4 linked regions of the Tamandua tetradactyla genome follow. The protein of the gene in region 1 interacts with the protein of each later gene in a biochemical or structural test. Links are inferred from orthologs where the notes say so. Each region holds a gene or a part of one and is shown in the gene's direction. Other genes may lie near its edges. The genes, in order: NFKB1, NOTCH1, MAP3K8 and BCL3.

Evidence for each region.
Region 2: the proteins of NFKB1 (region 1) and NOTCH1 form a complex in vitro, tested with the Homo sapiens proteins (2 studies listed by BioGRID). The link is inferred for Tamandua tetradactyla from reciprocal best matches to the Homo sapiens genes NFKB1 and NOTCH1.
Region 3: the proteins of NFKB1 (region 1) and MAP3K8 form a complex in vitro, tested with the Homo sapiens proteins (2 studies listed by BioGRID and IntAct, with this or other methods). The link is inferred for Tamandua tetradactyla from reciprocal best matches to the Homo sapiens genes NFKB1 and MAP3K8.
Region 4: the proteins of NFKB1 (region 1) and BCL3 form a complex in vitro, tested with the Homo sapiens proteins (2 studies listed by BioGRID). The link is inferred for Tamandua tetradactyla from reciprocal best matches to the Homo sapiens genes NFKB1 and BCL3.

Annotation. Positions count from the first base shown.
Region 1 is NC_135350.1:21,621,235-21,628,197, reverse strand, and holds the start of NFKB1 (nuclear factor NF-kappa-B p105 subunit), read left to right. Parts: upstream 1-3,947; 5' UTR 3,948-3,964; intron 3,965-4,290; exon of another isoform or gene 4,291-4,442; intron 4,443-6,963.
Region 2 is NC_135328.1:126,089,929-126,097,469, reverse strand, and holds the start of NOTCH1 (neurogenic locus notch homolog protein 1), read left to right. Parts: upstream 1-4,527; 5' UTR 4,528-4,534; coding exon 4,535-4,592; intron 4,593-6,279; coding exon 6,280-6,361; intron 6,362-7,541. UniProt on the Homo sapiens protein: Functions as a receptor for membrane-bound ligands Jagged-1 (JAG1), Jagged-2 (JAG2) and Delta-1 (DLL1) to regulate cell-fate determination.
Region 3 is NC_135327.1:221,263,443-221,270,784, forward strand, and holds the start of MAP3K8 (mitogen-activated protein kinase kinase kinase 8), read left to right. Parts: upstream 1-4,332; 5' UTR 4,333-4,675; intron 4,676-4,687; exon of another isoform or gene 4,688-5,083; intron 5,084-7,342.
Region 4 is NC_135342.1:18,276,373-18,283,640, reverse strand, and holds the start of BCL3 (B-cell lymphoma 3 protein), read left to right. Parts: upstream 1-4,258; 5' UTR 4,259-4,362; coding exon 4,363-4,618; intron 4,619-6,119; coding exon 6,120-6,273; intron 6,274-7,268. UniProt on the Homo sapiens protein: Contributes to the regulation of transcriptional activation of NF-kappa-B target genes. In the cytoplasm, inhibits the nuclear translocation of the NF-kappa-B p50 subunit.

The DNA of each region.
Region 1 (6,963 bases):
CCCATTCCCACTACTGTGAGAGTTTCTTCCCAGGGCAACTCTTACTTCACCAACCTCTAGGAGTTCTATTTTTGCTTCTAATGCTTTTCTCCAGGGAAAATCATTAAAAATGTAATAGCTGTGAAGTCTGGGAAATAGAAGCAAGACAAACCTGGCAAACAGACAATCAGGAATAACGTGATTCTCTCTGAGCAAGGTTTCAGAGTAACAACATATGATTATCCTAGTTGCCACAAGGCCAGATCAGTGTTACATTTTAAAGGCTTTCCTTCTTATCCCTAACTGGACTCTTTCTCTGTGCTCCTACTCAGAGAGATGCTCACTATATGAGTATCAATGTTTTAAATCACAAATTAGAGTAGTTTAGAAAAGAGACCCTTCATTAATTTTTTAAGTGGCCTCATGAGTTATACTCGTTAGGACTTGAAAATACACTGATTCAAAGCCTTACTATTTATCTTTTCCTATAAAATTCTATCTTATCTGTGTGTAACAATTTTATTAGCAACACACATCAAAATATTAGCATGGATTCTTGGGTAAAGCCTCCCTTATTTTTGCACCTTATCAAGAAGATGAACAAATAGTGAATCACACATGGTTTGGAATGACTCAAAGTCCTAAAGAATAGACTTGGTAATTGTTATATATAATTTCCCAGGAAAACTTGCACAAGTTTGTGAATTTGGTGGATTTTAAAAAATCCACCATTCAAAGGGGAAATTTCAAGCTAGAAGGGATACATAGAGATAACACAATCCAATGTTTTTACACAACATGAGACAACGTAAAGAATTCAATCAAGTATATTTATATATTTTTTAAATTTAAGGATTATTTTGAAATATTCATAGCTATAGTCAAAGAAATTTAAATATATAATGAGAATTTTAAAGATTTGGTTTCGATGTCTTCCTTCTTTTACTTTTAATTTAAAATGTTATAGTGCTAAACATGAGTCATGTAAGCTACAAATTGCATTCAGCCACATTTTGTTACTTGCTATTGTTCTGGCTCAGCTTCGCACACATTTATAATATGCTTAAAAAGAGATAATACTAACATCTATATACCTAGTAGTTTAGAAAGGGAAGAAAATGTTTAGAGCAGAAGAAGTATTTTAAAAAGCAAGTGGGAAAATGAAAATGAAATACTGCAACACATCCATTCTTGTGACAATATGAAATGCAGGTAAAACTTCTTATGTCAGTTAAATATTAAAAATAGAGAGATAAAAAGTACTTCTATGTTTGTGTATAACAATAAGGAAATTTAAAAGATATTTTTCATGGACTTTAGGAAACAAATTAGATGTTCATAATATGCTTTTTCCCAACTCTCCATTAAAATGTCCATGAACATAGATCTTTTTAAAAATGGCAATAGTTGCAGAAGATCTTATGACAAATTAGGAATGGGATTTTCTCAAAAACCAGTTGCAATGCAGAAAGATAGGGTATATAACAAATTCTCCCACCCTCTGAACCAAAACCAGTCCATCCCAAAGGAAATGGGAATATATTTCAACACACCTTCTACTTCATTCTTCAATTAACTTCACCTATCTTGACTATGTGATAGGTAACAGAATATATGGACATTTCCCAAATCCATAAAAAGAGAGTTGTCTAATGCCCTCCACTTCCAAATCAGAAGTGAGAAAGTGGACATAAAACACACATAATTAAGGCAAAATGTATTCGTATATTCGATGTATAATTTCTGTAAAAAGACTCTTTCCATTTTCAAATTATCAGTGTATTTATCTCTTTTACTCTTTTCAGACACATGATTTTCATCTTAGTTTTCTCTAAATAACTATTTGTCTGGATTACAAATGAAATTGCAAAGGGAAAGACTAGGGTATTATCGGGTTTTTTTCACCCTAAAATAGGATTTTGCAACAAGGCAACAAAAAGCCTTGCATGTCAGTTCAGACATGTATATAATCTATATATATAATATAAATCCTGGGGATTTATTATAAGGAATTGGCGCACATAACTGCAGGCATACTTCAAACTGGAAACTCTGATAAAGGTGATACTGGAGTCTTTAGTCCAAATTCACCAGGGGAGGCTGAAATTGAGTCCAAATTCCTCTTCTAATCTCTGATATCTTGGCTTTTAAGACCTCCAACTGATCGTATGAGAAGACTCCCCACTTTGCTGAGAGCAATTGCCTTTGTTGATCTTGGAGGCAATCAAAGGATTATATCCACAAAGCCGATCTACAAAATAACCTTCACAGAAGCAAAAAGGACAGTGCTTGACCAGACCACTGGATACCATATCCTAGGCAAGTTCCCACATGAAATCAACCATCACAAAGTATTAGAGTTGAAGAAGGAAAGTTCTGCTTTCTTAAGAATGCTTGACCACATCACACAAATGTTAATAAGAAGTGTAGTACATTTGAATTTTAGTCACCAACTCAAATGCATCAGAAATACAATCCAGTTTATTTCCCTACAAATCAACTTTAAAAAATCTATTACAAGTCCTCATTCCATCAGAGGTCAGTCAATTTGGGGCTCTCTTCTCCCCTTTCACTGGGGTGGCTTATGTGGGGCCAAGGTGAGACACAGGACATCTGCTTCTCATTCGGTCAGCCACATAGGCACTGACCGGCTGAGACATTCATCGTTCAGACTGGTCCTCACCCCTTGTATGTCATCAACCCAGACAAGGTGAGACTGAGATGTACTAGTTCCTGTGGCAATGGCCCCTTCATCTCTGGCAGCTCCCAGCACTTCTCCCACGCCATGCTTAAAGAGAACAAGGACCACTGGGCTGCCTCACACCATCCTAAATCATTGGCACTCTGGGCACAGTGTTTACCTCTTTAGGCAGATGCCTTTTCCCAGAGCTCTGATTCTGAGACAAAGCATAAAGTTCTCTAAAGGGAACTCCTGTGATGACGTCTCCTCCATTTGTCCTCATTCTCTTTCCTATCTGAGAAATATTTTTCTATTGTCTGAGTAGAAGATACCTATTCTTCCAAACTATTAGAGTTCAAACAGTTTATCTATACTTCACATAGCCCTAAAGACTCTGATCTTTACAAAGGCAAATTACATACAATTACAAAATAATAATTCACAATAAGTTATAAATTTATTTATAATAAAATAATTTAATTAATGCTCATATAGGACAGAATTTTAACAAGAACATTTAGTCAAAATAAGAATGATACTTGTGGGCGGTGCAAAAGTGGCTCCGTGGCAAGAACTCTTGCCTGCTGAGCTAGAGACCAGGGTTCCATTCCCAGAGCCTGCCCATGAAACAAACAAACAAAAAAGTTATGGTTAAAATTAGTGCATGCAATTCACTGGAACAAGGTAAAAATACATACAATATTCTAGACAAGTCTTCTATATGAAGTTAGATAAAGCGTGGGGGTAAAGCAGCAAGTGAAAATATTAAACTTCTGAGTAAACGGGAGACTGCAAGGATATAAAAGGGAGGCATACCCAATGCTAATCACTGCACTGCACTACTAGTTAATTGAACAGTTTTAAAGAGTATATCATTCAATATATGTTAAAACTAGAGAATTTTTAAATATCCACCTTTAAAATATCTCTATTTCTGAAACATCCTATTTTGGGATTCATGCAACAGTATATGAAACGTGAAGTTATCATTTAGATAAAAACATTTTCAAGGGAAAAAAGATCTGTAACATCTATCACCATCAGCCTTAAATGCATTTCCACCATGATCTATCAATTTAAAATATGGAACGCTTCACAAATTTGCGTGTCATCCTTGCGCAGGGGCCATGCTGATCTACTCTGTATTGTTCCCCGAAATAAATTAACACGGTCTTTTTCCCCTCTCGGCCTAGCCCAGGCTTGTCAGAGCCTAAAATCCACCCCAGGCATCCGCCGGCGTCTCTGCTTTGTGTACTGAGTTTGATTTGCCATCAAGTCCCAGTTTGGGAGACGCCCTCGCACCAGGTACGTCTGGTGTGTCTCAGGATTTTCAGTTTGCTTTTGGGGGCGGGAGGGAAGGGGCGCGCGTGTCCCGCCTAGAAGGCGGCTGGGTGTGCTGGAGGCAAGTGCTGCCGGGCCAGAGCGCAGTCGGAGGGCTCCGAGATCGGATTACGGGACTGCAGGACCAGGGGCGCAAGAGTGGGCCCGGGGCTCGCAGGGCTGGGTGCGTCCTCCGGTGCCGGGGTCGCTGGCACTCCCTCCTCCACCGTCAGGATCTGGCAGAAGATGAGAGTGAGCGCAGGAAGAGGAGTGTTTTGGCAGGGTTCCAACCCTGGGCTGGCAGCTGGCGCCGAACCACCGGAGGGCAGAGGCGCCTGCGGTTGCGCTGCCTGTATCCACGAGGGGCGCTGGGGCCCGTGACGGGGCGAGCGCGGGCTCTGCGCGAGGGTCAGAGGAAAAGATTTCCGCTCCCGAGTGCTGCCCGGGTGGTCCCAGGCGTCCGGTAAGGCTGATGGTCATGGTGGGGAGGGAGCTCCGGAAGCGACACGTGGAGCGCTGAGCGGAGGAGTCGGCGAAGTCTGTATGCTATTTATTTTTAAAGGAAGTACAGTCCATTTCACTTCCAAAGATTATACACTATTAACTCACCATTATATTATTCTCATTCTTTGAAACCTTATTTATTCTTTTCTGCTTGAACTATTTTGTTGGAATCTTTTCACTGTAAATAATAGAAACAGAATTCAAACTAGCATAGCACATTAAAAGAACTAGTTTGTTAATATAACTGGATTTCTAAAATGTAACTGCTTCAGGAAAGGCTGGATCTAGGGAATCAAATGATGCCATTGGTACTGTCTTACTTTCTCCATCTCTTAGTTTATTTGCTTCAATTTTCATTTCTCAGGCCTGGAATTCCAGGTTTATATGGTTCTTACATGCACTCACAGAAGTAGACTCCCCTTCTCCCAGGGTGCGTGCCTATCAGGACTTGATAGTTTACTAAATTACCTACCCCAGGAACTAAGGCTCTGGGGTTAGAAGGAGACGCCACTTTGATTGGTCAGCTCAGGTCATACGCTATCTTAGGTCCGATGCCACAGAAGCAGATCTTGAGCCAAGGATTCAGTCGAGAGTGATTTATTAAGGACATGTTCTCAGAAGAAATCATTAAGGATATGGGGAAATCAGGATAGAGAAGGAAAGTAGCCAAGCTGTTTCCAAAGCCTCATACGGAATCTGTGGAGTGCAAATTACACTTCCGAGTTTGTCCCTCTGCCAGAGAAGCTGAGGTAGGGAGAGATTACAGGACCGTAAAACTCCCAGTCGCTTTGAGCTGTCCTCAAAGTCAAGCTATCCAGTGCCCAAGGGTCAGCGTCTGAAGGGCTTAGGTACAAACCGTCAGTGGCAGAGCACACAAAAGGTGCATATGGGTTCATAGAACTGGTAAAAAAGGGTTCCGAATAAATCTGAGTGGGACACCAACAGTGCTAACTGTGCCCAGTTCTGTGGTGAACGAACAACCTCCTGATTGGACACCACCAAAACATTCTCATGGCTTGGGGAAGGGGCAGTTCCCAGATGAAAGGATGTGGGGCAAAAAATAGTAACTGGCCACTCTGTCTTTCAGAGCCTGGGATCAGGCTGTTAAAGATTCCTGTGAGGATAGCATTTTTCTACATTTATCATGTTCTCCTAATAATTTTGGCATAATATGTTGATCCTACTTTATTCAATGTATAAAGGTTGTCACAACTTTTTTGTTGTGAGTAACATTCATGACAAAAAGGACTTTTTTTAATTATTATTATTATTTTTTGACGTGAGCAGGTGCCGGGAATCAAACCCGGGTCCTCTGGCATGGCAGGCAAGCAGTCTTGCCTGCTGAGCCACCGTGGCCTGCCCAGGACCTTCTTTTTAACTATTTATTGTTTTGACCCTTATATCTATTCTGTCAAATCAATTCTTCTATCTCTTCTTTTAAAATTTGACTTACAAATTTTTATTTATTCTCTTTTAAACTTTGCGTTCTGTTGTTTTGTTTCAGGTTTATGTCTTGTCTTGAAAGCAGCACACAGACTGCTTTTTAAACCTTATTTGGTAAAATTTTATCATTTTAATTGGGGAGTAAAACTAATTTATATTTATTATCACAACCAGTGTTTGGTCTTGTACTATCTTGGGTTATGCTTTCTGGTTTTGTTTTGTTTTTTTTAATGACTTTTATGCCGCTTCCTCTGTTTCTGTCATTTGTTGTTTTGGTTGATTTTATCTTCTGTAGATTTGGAAGATTGCAAGGCTGTTTTAAGTTCTCTTGGTACCCTTAAAGGTTTAGAAATCATTCTTTTCTGTTTTTCATTTTCACATAATACTAAGAAATATTTCCCCATGTTTTTACTTTCTCTCAATTCACATTCTTCTCACTAATTCGTTGTCTTTATTCATATTATCTGAACACTTATGCCCATGTTATAGTTATTTGGTTTTATATATAATTTTACAGTATTCTTTTTTAAAAACAATTTCTGACATTTGTGTTCTTTTTTATAATCAAAACTTGAAACAATTATTAGACCTACTTCTATGTTTGACTTTGTTCAATGTATACTATAATTGCTTTCATAGCATAACTTTTCCATGCTTTAGTTTATTTTATTAACTTCACAGTCAGCTGAAATACTCTTCAAAATAATTTTTTACTAAAAAGCATGGTTAATGATGAATTTTCTGAGCCCTTATCTGTAAAAAAAAATGTCTTCCTGTTACTTTGAGATGAACAAAAACACGATTGGATATAGAATTCTTGAGTCAGTTTTTCCCTTTCTTTATATAAAAGATTCTGTTTTAAGCTGACATTTAGTAATGTGAAGGAAGATTTTCAAGTCTGCCTGATTTTTGTTTCATAGTAACATGTTTTATTTCGAAAAGATTATTTTAGAATTATTTTTTCTTGTCCTTGAAATTTAAAGCCTTTGCCAAAATACGCTTTTATTTCCATTAATTTTATTTATAATGTATGTCTT
Region 2 (7,541 bases), on another chromosome or scaffold:
AGGGATCTGTGCTCTGAGCATCCACCTGCAGGTAGGCGGGTGGCCACGGCCATGGGCTATTGGGACAGCCCAGGTGGCCAGGCCTCCCTCGGCAGCAGTCCCACTTCTTGGATGGATGGTGCCACATCAGCCATGGGATGGGCCGGGGGCTGCACCCAAAGCCCAGTGCCAGCTGGGCCTGTCTGCTCAGCCGCTGGGGGGGCCGGGGATTGGGCCGGGTACATGCCTGGGCAACACACCTCGCAGGTGTCTGCACCCAGGGAGCCTTCTGGGCCATGGTGCAGGGTCCATGGAGGGTATGGGCTGGCCAGCCAGGAGTTAGGGCCCCGCTTGCTTGGTGGACTTGCACGGGGAGACCAGGGTCTCGGACCCTGTGTCCTCTTCCTGCGGGCTGTCCGTCAGTCATCTGGTCGGTGAACAAACCTTCCGGAAGCATCCATGGTGGGTGCTGGGGACCAGGCAGACACCAGCCCGGCCCTGCCCTGCTTTCAGGGGCTCACACCTTTGAGGAGTCAGGCAGGGACAAACGGGGGGGGCTCATTTCAGGTGGAGGACACCAGTTATGCCAAGCTTGGAGGCAAGAGAGAGGGGACAGACGGAATCCAGCCTGCCCTGGTGGGTGCAGAGCCCCAGGGGCCTCCTCCAGCACTGTGGGGTCCTCTAAGGACATGTGGTGGGTGGGCAACTGGGCTGAGTGGGCCTCTACATAGGAGAGGGGGAGGGGACAGGGAATCAAAACCAAGGCCCAGTCTGACCCCTCTCCACTCTCAGAAGGCGGGAGAAGCCCTCCTAGGTGGCCTGATCCCCTACTGGTACGAACCCACCCTCAGGAAGCAGCAGAGAGGAGCTGGCCGACACCCACCATCATGCCCTCCTTGCACGGCGACAAGCCTTGCCGTCCAGGGTCTGGCAGAGGTGGACTGGGTGCTGAGTCGTGACCCATCCCTCTGCATTAATGCCCCACGGCCACCAGAAGCAACTTATTCTGTGACAGCCGGCCCTCAGGGAAACGCTTGAGGTGGTTTCAAAGTGGAAAAAGGCAGCCAGGACTTTAGAAGGCATTCGATAGACAGGGAAACTGAGGCCCAGGGGTCAAAAGTGCCTAGGGTTGGCCAGCTGGTCAGCAGTGGTATCCAGAATAGAGCCCAGTGCTCTGGCTCCAGCTTTGCAAGCACGTCACAGAGTCTTTTACCATCAACTTAAAAAGACAGAGGGCTCCCACCCTTTAGTATTCTGGAATTCCCCCATACCCTTGGAGCTAGCTCCAACCCCGAAGGTCAGGCCAGTTCCCCAGCCTCAGGCCGTACTTTCCTGTGCCCTAAATCGAACAATGTGAGCCAGAGGACAGGTGTCCCCAGAAGCGTTATCAGTGCACACAGCCCACTGCAGCCTTCAGGGGCCCCTGCCCTAGCGGTCGGATGCTGCTGAAGAACTGGGCCTGGCCAGCCCTGAGAAGGCACTGAGCCTCGGCTTCCTCACCTGAGATGAGAAATGGGGAGACACATGCCTCCTCCCCCTTCCAGGGCTGCCCCCTAGGCTCCTAGTGAAAGAAAAGGGGCCTTACCCTTTTTTCTCAGCCCTGGCTGCACCTTGGAATTTCCTGGGAAGCTTCTGATACCACTGGCACCCCCACCCCCCACCCGCAAACCAGGCTAGAGCCAGTTTGGTCTGAGTTAAGGTTGCTGAATCCGGGCTGAGTATACAGCAGTCGCTCCAGAAATGCCTCTTTATTTACCTTGGGATGTATTCTGACCTCAGAAGGACTTGTGGATGGCATGGGGGACAGGGATGGGGTGTGCTTTGGGGGACAGGAATGGCCCAAGGTCAGCAGGGCCTCCCCAGCTCAGCCTGAAGGCAGCAGCCCTGTATCTGGGGGGCCTGTAGAAGAGGGTGGCTGCCAGACACCCCAGGCATCCCTCTGCACCCAGACCCCATGGCTTCCCCTCCCTTCCACCCCCCACAGGTTCTAGGACTCCAGTCACTCGGGGTCTGTCCAGGGGGTGTCCCTGGGAACCTTGTCCTGACTCCCACCATGGAAGCCGCTTCATGATCTGGAGGGGTTGCAGCCCCCGTTTAGCCTCTTGCAGACCCACCAATGTCCCCCCACGGGGTTCTGGAGCGGCCAAGCTGTGCTGGGTTTATCCTTAGCCCCCCAAAACCCGCTCCCCGGGGCTTCCTCGGGCTGCCTGCCCTGTTGGAGAAGTTTCAACAGGCTGTCCTGGCCTTACCCCAGCTTGGTCAGGATCCCCATTCCCCACGCCACCCAAGACCCCTGGATAAGGAGGGACCAGGACCAGGGAGGCCAGAATTCTCTGGCCTCATTTGTGAATAAAAAAGCTTAACATCCACTTGTCAGGGCCAGGCCCACCCCCTTCCCAGGCCCAGAGGGGAACCCCACCCCCCATCTACCTTGGCTATATTCCCTCTCCAGCTTCAGGCACTTGCACTTCTCCCTTTCCTGGGATGCCCCCACCCCCAGCTGTCTTTGGGAACCCCCCAGGGGACCACAGAGCCCTGGCAGCCGAGTAACCTGTGCACTCAGCTTTATCCCTGGTGAGCATCAAGTGTCTGTTCTCTTCCGGCTGGTGAGGCCCAGAAGGAAGGGGCTGTGGGTACACCTGGGCTCACACCAGAGAGGGACTCTGGTCCAGTGCTCCCCTGCTCCCAGCCATAGCCAGACTTCAGATGGGAGAGAACTCACTTCAAAGCCAGGGCTGGAGGTGCTTTGCCTTTCGGCCTGGGGCTCTCTGGGTGGAGTGGCAGGGATGGGGTGAGCAATGTGTGCCCAGAGTCCTGAGCCTGTGAATGGGGGGTAGGGGACAGGAAAGGGGTCTGTGCAGCACTGTTCTTCCTTCTAGGGGAAAATCTGTACCAGGCTGCCCAGCAGTCGGGCTGCTGTGATATAAACATTCCAGCTGCCTCCAGGCTCCTCCTCTCCGGGGCACTGCCCCGGGGAAGTTACCAGGCGCCCTGAGAGTGCAGCCACCTCCTGGAAGGAGGCAGCAAGGAAGGCTTCCCTCAGCAGCTGCCAGGGCCTGGGATGGCTGCCCGGGGTACTTGGGGCAGGGTGTCAGCTGCTGCCACTGTCCGGCAACAGGTGTGCCCTGAGCAGCGGTGAAATGCCGCACCACCAGGCGCCTCTCCAAGCAAGGGCCGCCTCCTCCGGAAGCCTCCGGGATTTCTGCGGTCCCGCGGCGTCTGGTGTTCATCGTGCTCGGCCGGGCCAGTTCCCGCTCGGCCTTTAGCCTCAGCTGGGGCCTCGTTTCCTCCAGAAAGGAAGCCAGGGCCAGGGCTGGGTTGCTGCGCCTCCAGCCATTGCACTCACCCCCTGTGTCGTGATGGGGTGGTGGGCGGCTGCCTGTCCGTGGCACTCGTTCTTGAACTTTGGTTATGCCGGCATCCTGGACGCCTAGTGCTCAAACGGGCTTGGCACAGGATGCCCTAGGAGAAGGAACCCGCCCGGAAGGAGCACGTGGGAGGGGCCGAGTTGGCGCCGGCGCTGGGTCTGCGCGGCCCTGGCGGGGTTTCCGGGGCCACCTGAGGCAGGGGGTGGCGGGGACAGTTTGAGGGCAGTGACGAAGGAGCATTGAGTTCAGCGGGGCCCTGCTTGGGCGAGCAGATGCACTCTCCACGCCGCAAGGCAGTGGCCCTGGGCTCTTCCCTCGAGGCGCCCAAAATCTTCACCACAGAGGCCCAGGGCGCGGCACCACCTTCGTTCAGGGTCAGGTGGTACGGTCTTTACTACCAGGACGTCTGGTGTCGGTGCCCGGTCCCCCAGGGTTTAAAGCCGCTGCCCTTGGGCACCCGCGAAAGGAGCCACGCGGTTCCGCGCGCACCCACGGACGCGGAGGGCGCGACTCCTCTCCGAGCCTCGGTCCCGGGATCTCCCAAACTTGGCCTCGGCCGCCTCTGGTCCCGAACCCAGCGCCTCTCCGGGAACGGCTCCCGCGCCTCCCCTGCCATTGAGATGCAAATGTCTCAATTGGCACCCAGAGAGGACGCCACCAGAAGGGATCCTTCCGCGGCCCGGGGCCAAACTTTGGGCCTCGGGAAACTTTCGAACGAGAAGTAGTCCCAGCGCTAGCCCGACCTCCCTCCGGACGCCCTGGCGCCCTGTTTCAGCCTGGGAGACCCTGGTTCCCTCCGGCGTGTCCAGCCCGAGTGGGCGCGGGGCCCGTCCCGGGCGCAAGGGGCGCGGGCGCGGAAGGATTGGCGGGGCGGGGCCCCGAGGCGGGGCCGGGGGCGTGGCGCGCGTCGGGGGCGGAGTGCACGGCCGCCCCGCGCCTCACTAGTGCCTCGGCTGCGGGAGGGAGCGCAGGGCCGCGGGGTGCGGGGCGCGGGGCGCCGGAAAGCGGAGGGCCCGGCGGAGAGCCGATCCGGCAGCTGGGAGACCGCGGGATCGCAACGCCCTCCCGCCGGCCGGGAAGGAGAGGAGGAGCCGCCCGTGGGACCCTCCGGAGTCAGAGTGCGCCCCAGCCCGGCCGGCCCCGCGCAGGAGGCCGCCCCGGGCGCAGCGGGCAGCCGGCGGGCAGGCATGCCGCCCCTGGCGCCGCTGCTCTGCCTGGCGCTGCTGCCCGCACTCACCGCACGAGGTGAGCGTCCGCGCCACGGGGCCCCACGACTTGCAGCGCCCTTGCAAACTTTGGCGGCTACCCGAGTCCGCGCTCCGGGCTGCGGAGGAGGGTACTGGGAGGCTCGAAGCAGCGGGGTACCCGGGAGGGGGACGGTGGGGGTGAGGGATCGGGAGTTCTGGGCACGGGAGAGAGGCGAACATCACCCCCCTCCCGATCGGGGAGGACCCGCGCTCTCTGACCCTGGGGACTGCGCCTGGAGCCGGCTTTGGAACCAGGTTTGAAGCCGGCTTTGAAGCCGGGTGTGGCGGGCCAGGGGCCCGGGCCCTTGGTCGCGTCCTAAACCAGCTACGCGTGGGTCTCGCAGCCGGGGCGGGCGGGCTGCCTACGACTTTTCGATTTGAATCGAGTCGGGCTCGGTTTCCTGTTGCTCCTCCGGGCCATTTATCTTCTTTCTTCTCCACCTTCCCGCGCGGAGTGCGGGGTCCGGGGCTCTGCGTTCACTTTGGCAAACCCTCGCCGCCGAATCGGCTTCCTGACCCTTTAGGAAAGCCGGCGCAGGGCCGCCGCGGGGCTGCGGGGTACACTCACTCCCTTGGCTCCATCAGTCCCCCCACCCCCCCACCCCATGACCACCCCCGGCCCTGCTCACAAACTTCTCGGTGAAGGGTGAGGGTGAGGGTGAGGGGCGGTGGGTGTGCAGAGCCTCAGCTGCTCCAGGATAGGACTGGTTTTCGCTTTGTAGAGTTCACATTTGGGGATTTTGAGAGGGGGGGTCGGTGGAGGGGGCACTAATTCCTCTCCCTTCCTCCCGGGAATCTAGTGCGGGTTAATTCCTCTCTTTCTCAAAAAGCTGGAGGCAAGAGTTTTCTTCTTCCAGAAAGCAGAGTTCCATGTCTTTGCGGCTGCTGCCCCAACAGAGGGACTCCTCTTACCCTGTCCTGCTAAGATGCGGAGGGAGGGGCTTCATTGATTGGTCCCTTCCCAGAAGTGGCGTTGAATTCTTTTCCAAACGGGGGCTGTTCACCCCACTCCCTGGGTGTGTTCGGGGGCAGCCCCTGGAGATGGCCCTCCTGCCGGAGCAGGTATTGGGTGTCCGAAAGGCGGGGCCAGGTCTGGGGTTGGGGGCTGCGGGTGCAGTCCCCCAGGCCCCAGGAGGCGGCCCAACCCGACAATGAGCTGCTCTGATTCTGCGGCCGGGGCTTTGTTGGCGGGCGGGGCTCCGCAGCTGTCGCATTTTCCCACGAGCAGGGAGCTGAGTTTGGCCGTCCCCTGGCCCACTGCCCCCCTCGCCAGGGTGTTTGAACAGCGAGCCAATGGCAATGGCTGAGTGTGGGCCCCCTGCCCAAGCCGGCGGGGCTGCCTGATGAAGAATGGGGTGGGGGGGGCACACAAAGTTTGGGAGAATGTCCCTAGGTTATCTCGGCTCTACTCCGCAGCAGCCCAGGTGGTCTCCCCCACGCCGGGCACCACCCCATCCACCTGCCAACCTGCCCCCTTCCCCATTTCCCCATCCAGCTCACTGGGCTGAGTGCTGAAGCCCTTGAATTTCCTGTAGTGGGTGGGTGGAGGGGCAGTCCCGATGTTCCCTGACCCCGATGTCAGGGTGGGCTGTCTGTCGGTCTCCAGAGGTGGGTGGCTTGGGGAGGGGAGGGCCTGGGACTCAAGGCGCAGGCCACGCTGACCTCTCGTCTCTACCTCTCCCCAGGCCTGCGCTGTTCCCAGCCCGGGGAGTCCTGCCTGAACGGCGGCAAGTGTGAAGTGTTGGCCAACGGCACGGAGGCCTGTGTGTGAGTATGCGCCCCGCGGGACCTGTTGCTTAGTCGGGAGCGGGAGCCCCTGCCCGCTGTGGCGCTGGGGACAGAACACTGGCCCATTGTCTTGCGGAGATGGCCCAGAAGGCTGGGCGTGGTCACGTGCTGACTTTTATTGGACAAAGTCTGGCAATTACTTAATCACCAGTAATTATGCTGCATTCGAAGCAGGAGCTGAAGCAGGTCTGGCCGCTGGGTTCCAGCACTCCCGTTTCGAGGCAGGCTTACCGGGGCTCTCAGTGGGAATCTCCTGCACCCTGTTTCTTCCTGAAGTCTCCAGTGGGCCTGCCCCGGGGCTCAGGGCCAGTGACAGGGGGGCCCAGTTCCCACCGCCTTTTACCTGGAGAGCACCTCCTTGGGGCAGGTGGTGCCTCCTCTGGGCAGGTGAGCGCCTCCTGTGCAGGTGAGCCTCTCATCAGGATATTGACTATTTCAAAACCAAACCCAACTGGCTGGGCTGTCTGCCTCTCCAAGTTCATTCCTTCCTCGCTTCAGGGTGAGGCTGGGGAGAGGGCTCGAGCCCCTTGGCCTCCCTTTCTCCCGGCACGGGGGTGGGGTGGGGGGAGTCTGCCTTCCCTTTGGCGTCTGCCTTCCCTTTGACTCCCACCTCCCCATTGCCGAGGCCCGCCGGCCCCCACCCTGGCCTCGGTTTCCCCGGCTGCAGATTGGGCACAGGTGCAGTGCAGTCTGCAGCCCCATCCTGACGCCCATAGGAAATCTGTTCAGAAGGGCACTGTCTGTGACAGCCGTTCGGCCTCGGCCAAGTGTCTGCTCTGGGCCAGTGCCCTTCAACTTGAGTTCTTCCCTGATGAGAAGGACGAGCAGATCTTGGTGGCTGCAGGAAAAAGTCCCTTCCTCCCTGCCTCGGGAGACTGCCCATGAAGAAGTGGCTCTTGGCTGAGCCGACTGCCCTCGTTCCAACTGTCGAGGGGCCCCTTACCCCGGCCAGTCCCCAGCCCCCTGCTCGGGCTCTGCCCCGCTCTGGCTGCCCAGCCTGTTGGCGTGCTACCTCCACCCCCTTCGGCCCCCCACCCTCCTTGAACTCAAGCCAATTAAGCAGGCCTGGAGCAGTGCCCCTTTGTCCGTCTCTAATGAATGCACACTACTTTTTTTTTTTTTTTTTTGCTTTTTGGGGCCTTTTTCTCCCCCAGCAGAA
Region 3 (7,342 bases), on another chromosome or scaffold:
ACAGATGCTTGTGAATGCATTCCGATATTCACCCTTTTATCCATCAAGCAGCTGGGGGAGGCAGGGCTGAAATTCTCCATTCTAGGGGCTGTTGCCTCTACCAACTCCTCTGGGATGTCCTAAACAGCAGCGGGTGCAGGATAGAACCTAATGTTGCACTTGGGATCCCCACAGGTCTGAGGGACATCCTGGATCCATTTTAAGATGGTGAATGGCTCTGAGTAGGACCTCCATCACCCAGTAGCTGCAGAAGCTGCTACCCAACAAGGACAGGGGCCCAGATCTTCCTAGGGAAAGAGTTTGCGTTTCAGGTGCGAGGGTAGTTGGCAGGGCTTGGGGTGGAGGGGGCTGCAAGCACCAGACAGGCTCACTGGTGCTCCCATTGCTGGGGATGGAGGTGGGGAATCCTGGATCTCCACCTCTGTTGGACAGTTCATCCTTTTGGGGCTGATGTACCTTTTTAGCAGGGTCCAAACTCATTGCAGAGTGACTGCTCTAACAATGCATGCATGCTCAGCAAATTAAAGCTCTGGAATTTTGAAACACGTAATATTAAAAGTTCAATTATAATTGAAATCCACCCAGTATCATAAGAAACTTACATGTCAATGAAAGAAAAAGAATAGCTATTGGATTTAAAAAAAAATACAATTTCAACTACTTACAAATTTTAAAAATTACAGCAAGTTTTAAATTTAATACTTATATGCCTGTACAGTTTCTCATCTACATCAACACTCAAATATCTTAATTAGTAAGTAGATACAGCTGTTGCAACATAAACACATATAGAAAAAACTATGCTCATGAAATCAGCATTATTATTTTTATTATTATTACATGGGCAGGCACCTGGAATCGAACCCGGGTCTCCAGCATGGCAGGTGAGAATTCCTGCTGAGCCACCATTGGCATTATTATTTTTAATATAATTTAAAAAGCTTATTTGAAGCTTTATACAAATTCAGTACTTAATTATCTTCCTTGAATACTTTGTATTTTAGTTTCATCATAAATTTAAAAGCCACATGTAGGCATCCCCCAATTTATTTGTTTATCCAGTATCCTGAGCAAAACAATATTTTATGTGGCCATGAAAAAGACTGGAAAGCAGTGCCCTATTATATACTTTACCTGTTAATATAGGTCCCAAATGGGTGGGCTGACTTGGCAGTCCACCATTGGCTATAATTTTCTATGAGAAAATGAGCTCTGATTTCCAACCTCTAGATGACAACCCATCATTATCCAAATGTGTGAGTGGAGAAGCCCTCTTCCAGCAAACTGCAAGTGATGCAAACCGTTTTCAAGGTGCTTTTTGTTGGATGCATACAGCTTCCAGAGAGCTGATTTGCAATGTACCTTCTAGGGACTTTGAGTGCATGCTCTTGCCCGAGGTTAAAAACATCAGTTTGCTAGCCAGTTTCCTAGAAGAGGAGGATTAGTTTTGTAAGTTTGTTTTACAGGGGCCTGAACAAGAAAAGTGCCATGAGTACACACACATTTTCTTTTTTCAGTTGTTCTCTCTTTTCAGGGTCCCAGGTTCAATCTTTATTAAGCTTTACTGAGTGATGTGGCCTCTCTCTTTCGGCCAACACCACAAGCAAACTCACTGCTCTCGCCCTCTGTACATGGGACATGACTCTCGGGAATGTGGACCTTCCTGGCAACGTGGGACAGAAATCCTAGGATGAGCTGGGACTCAGCATCAAGGGATTGAGAAAACCTTCTCGACCAAAAGGGGAAAGAGAGAAATGAGAAAAAATAAAGCGTCAGTGGCCGAGAGATTCCAAACAGAGTCGCGAGGTTATCCTGGAGGTTATTCTTACATATTAAACGGATATCATCTTTTTAGTTAAGGCATAATGGAGAGGTTGGAGGGAAGTGCCTGAAAATGTAGAGCTGTGTTCCAGTGGCCAAGTTTCTTGAAGATGATTGTACAAGGATACAGCTGTCGCACTGACTGTGCGATTGTGAAAACCTTGTGTCTGATGCTCCTTTTATCTACCTTATGGACAGATGAGTAAAGCATATGGATCAAAAATAAAGAAGTAATACGGAGAACAAATGTTAAAATAAATTTAGTAGATTGAAATGCTAGTGATCAATGAAAGGGAGGGGTAAGGGGTATAGTATATATGAATTTTTTTCTTTTTTATTTTTATTTCTTTTTCTGAATTGAGACAAATGCTCTAAGAAATTATCACGATGACGAATATACAACTATGTGATGATATTTGAGTTATTGATTACATATCAAAAATGGAATGGTCATATGTTAAGAATGCTTGTGTTTGTATGTTGTGAAGTTGAATTAAAAAAAAACTTTACTGAGTAAAACTTAGTCCTAATACTGGCCCCCGCCGCCCGCCCCCCCTCCAGGGGGTGAAATTTACCATTGCATAAGTCTCCTGCAGCTGGCAAGAATCCTGAGAAACTAGCCATTTCGTCCACTCCCTGGAACGCAACTTCATTTGGGAGCCCTCTATGAAGGAAGTAAGCCTACCACTTAGTTCCCAGAAGATTAGGTGTGGTTTAATGAGCTCATTCAAAGGGGAAAGGGGCGGGAGCGGCTCTGTTTCCATTTTTAACAGGTTTTAAAAGCTCACATTTTGAACAAAAACTGACAGATGAGGAAGAGCCATCTCGGTCTCTCACGCTACAGTGAGAGGTGACAACCTCTCCCCACCTGGCTTCCAGAGAAAAGCTTCAGCTTCAGCCGAGAGCGAGAAGGTTAATTCACTTCTGAGCCAGTCACCCATTCCACCGAGTCCGCGCGTACCAGCCGACGGGTACGCGCGGACTGTCCCCCTCCAGCCCCATCCCCCCAAGACCAGAAAGAGCAAGTCCCCGAAGAAGGGTTTCTCTTCCAGGCACCCGGGGCAATCTGGACGGCTCGAGGGGATGGTAACTGTGCTGCTCCTGTCCTGCCACTCACCCCCCTCCGCATTTATAATAAAGTCCGGGATGATTTAAGTGCCAAGTCACTTGGTCTCGCCGTTTTATTTGCTAATTGGACTCGCTGTCATTGACAGGCTAAGAGGACGGTCAATTAACTTTGTCAGCATCCCGGTCCCTTCTTTACCGGAAAACAAAAGATGCGATTTAAGGTACTACAGCAAGGGCCTCGCTTCTCACCTCGGCTAGCCTAGGTCGGCGGGCAATTCTCCTCTGACTTCTTTGGGCCTCTGTAATAAACCCTGTGCTTCGGTCTCCACGCGAGAGATGGGGCCATCAGTGCGGGCCCCATACCGTTCTGAAGCTGCGGGAGGGAGAATGAGCTCGGGAGGGGGGGACTGGGAAGCAAACCTCGGAGTCACACACGTTTGAGCCTGGGCTCTGCCCCGGACGGCCCACGTCGGGGTTGTAGGTTGGAGACTGTAGCTACCTTACGTTCTCTCGTTCTCCGGGCAGTCTTGCAAAGTGACCCCCTAAGTGGGTGCTTGAGACTTGGCGGAATGGCCAGGGGCGCAGCTAAGTGCAGCTAAGTGCGCGCTGGGAATGCCCCGCAGAGTGGATTTCAGGGAGAGAGGCGCTGTTTCCTTCCACCTCACCTGAACTAAACACTTCCACTCAAAACAGGAAGAACACTACAAAACGAACTTTGCCCTGCTTTCCAATTAGGGCTAGAATCCCAGATTCGCAGCCAGGTGAGGAGATCAGAACAGGTAAGTTTCGTAATGTGCAGAAAGCAAGTTCCAATACGGACTGGAAAGAGCAAATCCAGTTAATACACACTGCCTGAGACACCCCTCCCAGCCCCCCGCCGCGCACGCACATTTCCCGGAGCTCCAGCCCAGGCCCCGGGCCAGCCCGCTGCAGCCTCTCCCCAATGTTTGTTCAACTGCAGTCCGTGCGTGCGGACCACGGATCAGGGCATTCAGTGTTTGGGGACCCCTGACCCGAACTCAAGGAGCCGTGGGGGCCTGGGACGTCCGAGGAGCGCAGAGGGAGCGAGCCCGCTAGGAAACGCGATTCTCCTTGGAGGAGACCAGGACATGGCGGGGAGGCGCGCTCGCCTTGGGTCCTGCTCCGGCATTAGGACGCACTCAGAGACCAGGTTTCCCGGTTCCCAAGTTCCGGGTAAGAGGCATTTGGTGTCCGAGGCCCTTCTGCAGCCGCGCAGTTGCTTTCTCCGTCCCCCGAACAGTTCCTCCCGCCTCCCTCCCCCAACAGTTCGGTAATTCCCGACTCCAGCTCTGGCCGGCGCTTCCTCCTCTGTCCCCTGGCCCCCAAAGCCCCGGTGATCCGCCCCTCCCCTGTCCCCGCCTTCAACTCCGCCCCGGCGCTCCGCGGGCAATGGGGGGGGGGGAGGGCGGGGGAAAGGCCGGAATTTCCCAAAAGCGGGGGCTCCCGCTTCCCGTGTCACCGAGGAGTCGCTTTCTGTTTACGGAGAGAAAGGGGAAATGGAAAACGCGGGGAGGTGGCGGCTGGAGCTGGCGGCACCGCCCCCCCGCCTGTTCAGACGCTGTGAGTCAGGGGCCCACGCGGGCGGCGGAGGCGGCCCGGGGTTCACTCGCCCGCCACGCTCTAGAAGTCGCGCCACGCTCGGGGACCCGAGGCCCGGGCTCTCCCATCTGCCTCCGCCGGATCTGGGTGCCCCGGCGCGCCCCACTCGGGAGGATCGGCCGCCAGCGGGGCGCTGAGCCGTCGGGGGGCTGCACAGAGGCAACAGGTAACCCAGAGTTCCGAGCTTGGGGAGTCTTTGTGGTGGCGCCCTCCTGGGTGCTCGGGGGTCCCCACCTTGAACTAGAGGCTACCCCGCCACCCTCACCCCTACCCCCAGCAGAGGGGAGCTCTCCGGAGCGCGGGGAGGTGGGGGCGTGCCTGGTCCCCTGGCAGCTGCGCTTCCGTCCTGCGCGCGGGTCGCGGGCTGCAGCCGGGCACCGCTGGAAAGCACCTTGCGCAAGGGTCTCACGGGGTGCCGATTTGCGGCTCCTCCCCCTTCCTTCTCCTTCCCGGATCTCCAGCGCCAGGGCAGTGCTGGTCTGGGCAGCGCGCGGGGGAAGCAGGGGCCCGCTGTCACCGCGTCTCTGCCTCGGGGCCCGCCGGGGCAACTGCACTATTCCTGGCCGAGCCCCAGGTGAGTGGACCTCGGAGACCCGAGCACCTGGCTGCCAAGCAGTGGGTGCATTTGCAATTTACAACCCCTTAAAGGCCCCTGACTTTCGGGACCCGGTAGAAGCGAATGGGGATGGGAATCGGCTGTGCAGATTGCTTTTCGAGCTGCTGAAAATGAATTTCGTGCCTATGTACCAAACTCTATACTGTGCCTAAAGGGCGGTTATAGCAGAGCAGGAGTATGGGGCCTTTGGCCTAAGAGAGAATATTAGGAAAAACAAAGTTATTTCCAGGGGCAATGCTTTGTCAGGACTCCAGAAATCCTTGTAATTTTGGGCGAAAGACTATTAGAAGGCAGCCTGGGCTGGTCCCAAGGGTTAACCTGGGACGGCCACGAGTTTCTTTATGCGAAAGATTGCGATGCTGAGCTTTAATGCTTTTGAAAAGGGAGGTTTAGGTCCATAGGTCCAGAATGAAGAATTGCTCCGAGATAAAGCAGGGAAAGAAACGCGCCTGCATTGCTTTACATGCCTGTGGTACGAGCCCCTTCGGCCCCAGCTCCCGGAAGGATTGAGTTTTGTGTGCGCTGCTTCTGGCCATTAAGAAACCTGTCAATTAAGGAAAATCGGATGGTTTAAGTGTCTAGAGGTTTAGATGCAGACGGGCAGTGCTTCTGTCAGCGGAGAAGACTCATTATTGAGAAGAAAATTCTGAGACGTGCCCTGAGGGGCAATGTACTATTTTGGCAGAAAAACCTTTTAAATGGGAAGTAACAGGACTGCATAATCGTCCTCTGTGAGGCAGGAGTCTGTGCCTGTAATCCTGGCCGGTTTCATTCACACTTGCCAGGAAACTCAACATTTGTTTATGGTAGATGAAAGTAGCTAGAAGTATCTTATTAATGTTTAGGACTAGGATTTCCTCTTGATTTTATTACTGATTTCTGAAATAATGGGAAGCAAACAATTTTGCCTATATTTGCAGAACTTTCTATTTCTAAAATTGGAGTCATTGGCTACTGTATTAAGAAGTTGAAATTTTATGAAGATTTGTGTTGAAAACTGCATTCTTTGGGAGTGGCTAGGAGGCCATTGCTAAACAAGAATACTTTCCCAAGCCGTGCTTTTTCTAAAGGGGTACTGATCAGGAATAACTCAGAAATCATTTAGCAGATTGTCTCCTTCATTAAGTCCGGAAACTGCTGCTCCTGCTTTTTGCTGAGCCTTTAGCAGGGAGATGGGTGCTCAGGGCCACGGGGTCGGGGGGTAGGGGGTGGCACTGATTTGCAGGAGCAGACCTCTGCGTTGGCAAGGGAGAATGCCAGGCAAACATCCACTCTCTATCCCCTGGCCTCTCCCCCCATCGCCTTCCAACTGGAAGCTCAGGGGGGTTGTGTGTGTTTAACATCTTAGGCTGTTCGTAGAAATGCTTGAGACCTTCTGCAGGATTTGGAAACCAAAACTTGCCTTTCTTCTCTGGATCAGCTGATTAATTGTAAACCGGGTGGAATTTTTCTTCTCTTTCTCTTATCAGTACAGGAAACTTTCTTTACTCTCAAGCCATTCATTTGACAACAGAGTCCAGGAGCCTTCGAATTTTTCAGCTAATGGGATTCTAAACTGAGCTGTTTTTAAGTCCTATTCTACCCACCCCCAAGTCAAAATTCTCCTAACAGAAACTGCAACTAAAGGCTAGGTGAAACCAAGTTCCGTGTTCCCCCATGTTCTTAAGCAGTTCTCTCAGAACTCACCAGAGTCCCAGGGCCTGAATCACAATCTCCCTCAAAGGCCACCAGTGTCTAGGGGAGCGCACGCCTGCCAGTCTAGATGAAACTGCCGATAACAACCCTCAAAGCATGTCATAGGTTTCTCTTTGCAACCTCACTGTCGTGAGGGTGGGGAAGAAGGTAGCCACATCCCATGTGCAGATAAGAAAAGAGGCCTAAAGCCGCATCTGCACACACAGGAACCTGACTCAGGGCTGCTCTTTTTTGGGGGGATGGGGGAGGGGGAATATGAAACTACGAATCGAACCCCAGTCTCCTGCACGGCGAATGAGCATTCTAGCACTGAACCACCCATGTACCCCCAGTGCTGCTCTTTTGTGCATGCAGAAATAACCCCTAGAAGTCACACAGCTTATTGACAGCTACCAGACCTGCCCTGAGGCCCTTACGTACATTGGCTGATTGAAGCCTCATGCCTGCCTTCCCAGGCAGGTGCTGTTTTACGGATGGGGACATTGAGATACAGAGGGACTGGTCTAAGGTTTGACCCTCGAC
Region 4 (7,268 bases), on another chromosome or scaffold:
CTTTTCAGCCCTGATCCCAAAAGGGAGGCCGTATGACTTCAGGCACGTCCCTCCCCATCCAGGCCCAGAGCCTCTGTTTGCCTCTATCTGTGGAATTCACTTGCTGTCTCTGAACCTCCCTGGAGGTTCTGGTGATGGTTTCTCTATCAGTTAACCTGAAGTCTAACTTTATTCCCTCCTGCTGCAATGAGACCCCTCTCTACCCATTCGATCCTCCCTGGGGTTGAAGAAACGCAGCAGAAAGAGTGTGGACTGGGCTAAAACCCATAGATGCCCTTGGGCACATGGTTGCTGCCCCATGCCTCAGTTTCTCCATCTAAACCATTCCTCTCCAGGGAGTAGGAGGCTAGAATTAATGGTTTCTGGAACTAATCACCACCCCTGCCAGTTCAGTAGGTTTGAACCAGAGTCCTGGGGTCCAGAGCCCTGTATTAAAAAACTCCCCCAGTTCCTCACCATTCGACCCTAGGAAGGGACTTCACTTCCCTATGCCTCAGTGTCCACCTCAATAAAATGGGGGTTTTAGGTGAATTTTCTGAGGTGTTGAGAGGATTAAGTGGGCCAGTTTCTAGTGGGAGCTGACTGGGTCAGGTCTTGTCTCATCTCTGGACAAATAAAGGTGACAAGAAGACCCCAGCCTGATGCACAGGGTGAGGTTAAGGCAGATGGGGGGGGCATTCATTCATTCTCCCATCGCACAAACCTGGTCTCACACAGTCTGTTCAGCAGCGCTTTGAGGCAGGCGCTGTTGTCATCCCCAACTATTGAAAGCAAAACAAAGGCAGAGAGAGAAAGCCACCAGCCCAAGGTCACATAGCTAGCACATGGCACCCTCAGGTCTCTAAGCCCAGCACACTGAATCCTAATCACCCTAGTGAAGTGGGTCCTGCTGCTGGCAGCCTAGGTTAACTGACAATAATGATAAAAGTAGTAGCTTCGTTGCACTGAGCACTTTCTACACATCAGGCCCCATAGAGGGAAGCAAATTTTCTCTATTTGGTCTGTTTTATAGATAAGAAAGCTGAAGCTCCATGCAGGTAACTGCCTGGAAGTCATAAAGCCAGTCAGGGCAGGACACAGGACTTGCACCCAGGCCTCAGTTTGAAGCAAAGTAGCAGAAGGCCCCTGAATGGAGCCGATGGGTATTAAGGGCCTGAGCCGCCCTGCCCTTTTCCTCTCCTTTGGAGAGGAAACCAAGGCCCAAAGAGCAGGAGAGATGCCCCCATGCCCACAGCGTTTCAGTTTGCACTTCCTTTACCACTGGGACCTCAAATGGGCAAACTCCTGGTCTTCCTCCCACAGGGAGAGTTGAATGTGGGTGAGGGAAGATGAGGCAGCTGGGAGGAGAAACAAACTGCATGAGGGAAAATGGTCAGACTCCAAGCAGGACTTCCAGGCCTTCTTCAGGAAGTTCTGCAGACTCATCCAGGGGCTGCCCCCGCCAGCAGTGGGCAGGAGGCAGGAGAGGGCTGCAGAGCTCAAGGCCCAGAGAGGGAAGACCCCAGCCCTCCCTGCCTGGGGTGCAAGGAGAGAGGGGGGAAAGGAGGGGACAGCCATCCTGGTTCCGCATCCTCCGTTCCCGACACTGGAGGGAGGTGGTGCAGGAGCTGGGACTTTCCTGAGTAGCAGAAGATTCTGGGAAGTCAGAGAGCAGCAGGGCGGGGCCGACTCCCAGCCTGCCTTCCCTTCCCTCCCTCTAGTCCCTGCTGGCTCCTCAGGCATGCCTCTTTCCCCCTCTGCCACAAGGAGACCCTCCTCAGTCTGCTGCTCCCCCCTCAGATCAAGCCCTTCCCCCTCAGACCCTCTCCAAGTCTCCTTCTCTTTCAGACCCCTCTTTTCCTCCCAACTCTCTCGCACTTCTGACCTCCTTACTTCGTCCTTCTCCTCAGACTGATCCTTCTTCCTCAGATCCTGGCCCCCTCCCTCAGATTCTGACCTCCTCCCTCAGTCCCTCTTCCCTGACCCCCAGGCCCTCATCTTCTCCACCAATCCCTCCATCAGGCTCTCTCCCCTCTCCCTCAGACAATCAAGTTCTCAGACTTGTCTTCCTCCTTCAGATCCTCTGTCCTCAGACCCTTTTATCCCTCATCCTCTCCTCCATCCTCAAACTCTGAGCCATCAGTACCCTTTCTCCCAGCCCTTCAAAGTGCCTCTCTGGGCCAGGTGTGCATGCCCCCCTCCCCCCAGTTCTGTCTAGCCCCAGGCCCTTTGCACCACCTGCCACAAGGTGATGGGGAGTGGGAGGAATTGGGGGTCTTAGGGTCACCAGCTTGTTGAGCACCAACCGTTTGAACCTCAGCTTCCACACACTGCCCCTCCCCTGTGCTTAAGGTTCTAAGAGGTGAGTGCTGGGTGGGCCGGGACGCCCAGCCCTTCCCAACCCACTTCCTTCCTCTTTCCTTCGTTGTAGCTCCCACGATAGGATACTGGGAGGCAGGGCTCAAGAGGCTCATTTCCAGGAGAGAGGGGATAGCTTGCTGAAGGTCCCTAGGTGAGCAAGGGGTGGGAGTGAGATTTGGACCCAGGTCTGTGACCCTAGATGTTTCACTCTACTGCAGGGCTTCAAAGGGGGGATAACAGAGAGGCCCAGGGCGCCGGGACTCTCTCTGCCCCCAGCTGCTCCTCCCAATCCCGGTTAATGATCCACTGGGGTGGGGCCCGCGTCCAGGCCAAAGTCTCTTCCTGGTGGACGGGGCCCCACACCCGCTTCCGGGTCCCAGAGAGACGCTGCCAGGAGACAGAACGATCAGGCAGAGATGGAGAGCCAAAAGGACAATGTCATGGGTTCGGGAGAAAGGGACAAAGAGAAGCTGAGCCTGATCAGGGACAGTGAGAGAAAAGGGAGAAGGGAAGACGGACAGAGGACAGAGTTGTCCAGACAGACAGGGTCTCAGGGAGCAAAGCAGGGAGACCCCTACCCCGCCGGGTGCCGTCCGGACAGCTCTGGGGTGCGGAACCCCTTGTCCGGCTCCCCCAGGTTTGCATAGCCCTTCTTCCGCCTCCCGTGACTCAGTGACCCGGACTCAACCCCAGCGGCGGCCCCGCCCCCAGGGAAATCCGGGAAAGCCCCGGGCCGCAGGAGCCCCGCCCCCTGGGCGGGAGAAGGGGGAGGAGCGACCACGCGGACGGGGCCCGCCCCTGCCCCTCCCCCTCGCCTGCTCCCGCCTGTCTGAGTCATGCCGCCAACACCAACCCACCGGGCCTGTTCCCTACGCTTCGACCCCTCCCCGAGGGGAGGGGAAAGTGGAGGAGAAGAAGGAGGTCAGACTGCCACCCCCCCACCCCGGAGCCTGGCCTTGGTCGTTCTGTCCCCGCACTGCTGATGTGTCTCTTGGTCTCTTGCTATCTCTCTCTCCCGTGTCCCTTTCCTTTGTCTCTCCAGAGCTCTGCGCCTCCATCTCCGTGTCCCTCTCTTAGTACACCCACCGTTCTCCGAGCACCCAGTGACCCGGAGGGGAGGAATCACATTCATTGTCCCTCTGGGCACCCCGGGCCTGAGGGGAGGAATCACATTCATTGTCCCTCTGGGCACCCCGGGCCTGGTCAAAGAGGCATAGAGAAGAGGCAGAGACGGTGGCAGGGGAGGCGGAGGGACAGTTCCTGGGCGCCCGCCGACCCCCAGCCCCGGCCCTGGGCGCGTTTTCTCACTCCCACAGAGAAGGAAACGGCCCAGAGAGGGGAAGTGCCCAGTCAAGTTCACACAGTGAGGAAGTGAACGGCGGGATTCGAACCCAGGTCCAGCGACTCCAGGCTCTCCCAGAATTACCTCCCGGCGGGGGGGGGGGATAGGCAGAGAAGAGTGCAACTAAGAGACAGAGAGAGAGTGAGAAATGCAAACAGACAACAGAGGTAGAGACGGTGAGACGTAGAGCGACAGAGAAATCGGGGTGATGCGTGTTCAGACCGGAGAGATCTCCGTCAAGGAGAGACACAGCTACAGAGAGATACCGAGAGAGGGAGACACAGAGCCCGAGGGACAAGAGCCTCGAGGCTGAGCGAAGCCCGCTGCCGCAGGGGCGGGGACCCCCGCCCCCGCCTCCCAACCCGGGTGAGCCGCCCGGGGCGCCGGGAGGGGCGGGCGCGGGGCGCGGCCAGGGCGGAGCGCGGCGGGCTGCACTGCGCGGCGACGGGAGCGGCGGCGGGTCCAGGAAACCCCTGGGGCGGACGGGTGGCCCCGGGAGGGGGGGGCGGGGGGCGGTCGAGGGCGGGGAGGCGGCCGGCCGGCACCGCCCCGGCCGACAAAAGTCCCTTCAGTTCAGCGGGAGGCAGGGGAAGTCCCGGCGCCCGGCGCAACCACCCTCCCGTGCCACTGAGCGGAGCAGCGCTCCGGCCGCCCGCTCGGCCGCCGTCCCCGGCGGCCCCATGCCCCGATGCCCCGCGGGGGCCATGGACGAGGGGCCCGTGGACCTGCGCACCCGGCCCAAGGCCGCGGGACCCCCCGGCGCCGCGCTGCCGCTCCGCAAGCGCCCGCTGCGCGCGTCCTCCCCGGAACCCGCCGCCCCCCGCGCCTCTGCAGGCCCTGTCCTCCCCTCCGAGCCCCTGTGTGGTGGCGCCGACGCGTCTGCCGTTTCCGGGGTCCCCCACGGCCTGGCCCGGCCGGAGGCGCTTTACTACCAGGGTGAGTGGCCCCCGCGGGTCAGGACTGGGTGGGAACCGCACAAGGTACAGGGTCACCAGAGCTAGGGGGCAGAACCCTGGGCGCAGTTATGTGGTGTCCCAGGAAGCTGGAGACAGGGGGACAGGACCCAGAGTCCTAGGGACACATACAGGGGTCCCAGGGAGCTGAGGGCATAGCCTGAAGTCCCAGGCCACAGATATAGGTGCCTCAGAATTACAAATCTCCATGACCCAGAAATTTAGGGTTATGAGGAGTCAGGGCCTGGACCCAAGAAACTGGGGTTCCTGGGTTCCACGTAGGGGTCAGAGGCAGTCAGGGGAACCACAAATGGGGTACTAAAGAGACAGCTATGAAGGGGTCCCAGGATGTCAAAATCAGGGGACATGGGGAATTACGACAATAGAGCTTGGAGTTCTGAGCATCCCAATATCTGGGATCACAGGGATCCAAGGAAGAGTTCCAGGAACCCAATAACTGGGGGCCCCAAGGAGTCAAGAGAACAAAAACTCAGCTGAGATGCCAATCAGGGGTCACAAGGGCAGGTGGCCTTAGGAGGTCTGCAGACTGAGAATTCTAGGAATGGAGTGGCAGGGCTAGAGAATTCTGGGATTTCAGGATTTAGGGCCAGGATGAGAGAGTCAGTGGACTTTGGGCAGAAGATCCCAGGGCCCCAAGGTCTGGTACTGGAGACACAGGGACCTGGAACTTGGGGAGTCCAGGAATGAGCCTCCCCCCCCCACCAAGGATCAGGGGATGTTGGAGAAAGTTACCCACCATTCTCCCCATCCCGTTTCCATCCTTGATCTCATGAAAGGGGCAGCCCTTGGACCACAGCTGTGTTCACCTCACTCTCCCCAGATGGCCCCAGAAGCTGCAATGGGCCCACGCTTAGTAACCCCAAAACTTGATCCACTTTCTGCACCTTCCAAGCCCCTCCAAGTGCAGCAGAGGGAGAGCCTCAAGCCGTGAGTCAGGAGGCCTTGCCACCACCACACTGACTTTTCCCATCCCTTGGATGAGTACCCAGGCCTTAGTTTTCCCCACTGGTATGGATGTGACTGCTGCCACAGTCTCTTCCAATAGCTGGATTTGAATCGGCTTCTTGTACCCCCTGCTCCCATTTCAACCCTTCCCTCTCCTCAAACCCTCTGCACATTCACTATGCCCAGCTCTCCATCTATTTCTCATCTCCCTCAGCCACAAATTCACTCATCAAACAAATCCTGGGGTCCCCCCATGGGTGATGATGGGGGCTCCCTTGGCGGGTGATGGGGGTCAGGCACATGGAAAGATAAGTGACAATGAGGGTGACCAGATGGGGGCAAGGGGAAATGGGCTGTGGGAGGCCAGAGGAGGACGTGGCAGGGGTTATCTTGATACAAAGGGACCTGCAAGGAAGGGTAGGCAGTTCTGCAGGATTGAAGGCCAAGAGGTGGGCAATAGGTTAAGGGTCTCCAGGCCTGGCTTCACCAGTGTCCTTTCTCTGTTCTCCACTGCTCAGGACCTTTACTGCCTCTGTACCCCACCCCAACCATGGGCTCCCCTTTTCCTCTGCTGAGCCTGCCTGCCCCCCTGTACCCCATGGTGTGTTCAATGGAACATCCCCTGTCGGCTGACATCGCCATGGCCACCCACGCAGATGAGGACGGAGACACGTGAGTGACCTCTCCCACTATTGGACAGGGGAGTGGGGAGGACAGCCTTCCACCCACCTCACCCACCACATACAGGGGCACTCAGCTTGGGCTTTCAAGTTACGTTGACCCGAGCTGTAATCCTCTCTCCACTGCTGGTTGTGTGATCCTGAGCAAGGACTTGCCCCTCTCCGAGCCTCAGTTTCCTCCTCAGAAATGGGCAACCTGAGAGCGCATCCCCCCAGGACTAAGGAGCAGTGGGCTTCAAATGTTTTATCACAGCCCCAAAGTGGGAAATGCATTGCACTGAGTGATTGATGATATAAGTTATACATGTAAAGCTGCTAACATAGTGTAGCTGGTTGATAAGTGTTTATTAGTATTACTTTATATCAAATCCAGCACACAAACATATGCACAAGATGTGTACACACACTTGAAAGAAAAACTGCACGAAACAAACAATATCTGATGATGGGGTCTACTTTGATATTTTTCTATTATTTCACTGTTGCAACCCACTGAACTAATCTGAAGGCTCCCCAGATTGATTTCCCAACCCCATACTTTATCACCTACAATTAGAGGAACATTTTCTGAGGCTGCCATGAAAGCCTGCAAGAGGGGGTTGAGCTCTGGGCCTAGCACATAGTAAGCACTCAGTACACTTGATCGTTGCAGTTCTTAGTATTCTGCCAACTTATGTTTGAATCTCAGCGGGCCACTTTCTCATTGGTCCATGCCTCAGATTCGCCCCTCTGTCAAACAGGGACCAAAGTGTGTGAGGGTGCAGAAGTCGGTTTGGAGACTCAGGTAGGAGTGAGCAGACCCATTTCTGGAGGGGGTGAGCCTCAGTTCCCCATCTGGAAATCGGTCTTCATAACAGTGCAAATCACAATTAGGATTTGGTGCATTAGTGCAGACGATAGGGCAGTACACAGTAAATGCTCAATACATGGCAATGGGTGTTTGTGGGCTATCCCCTTGAGCCCAAGTGGGAGAAAGTACTTGAGATA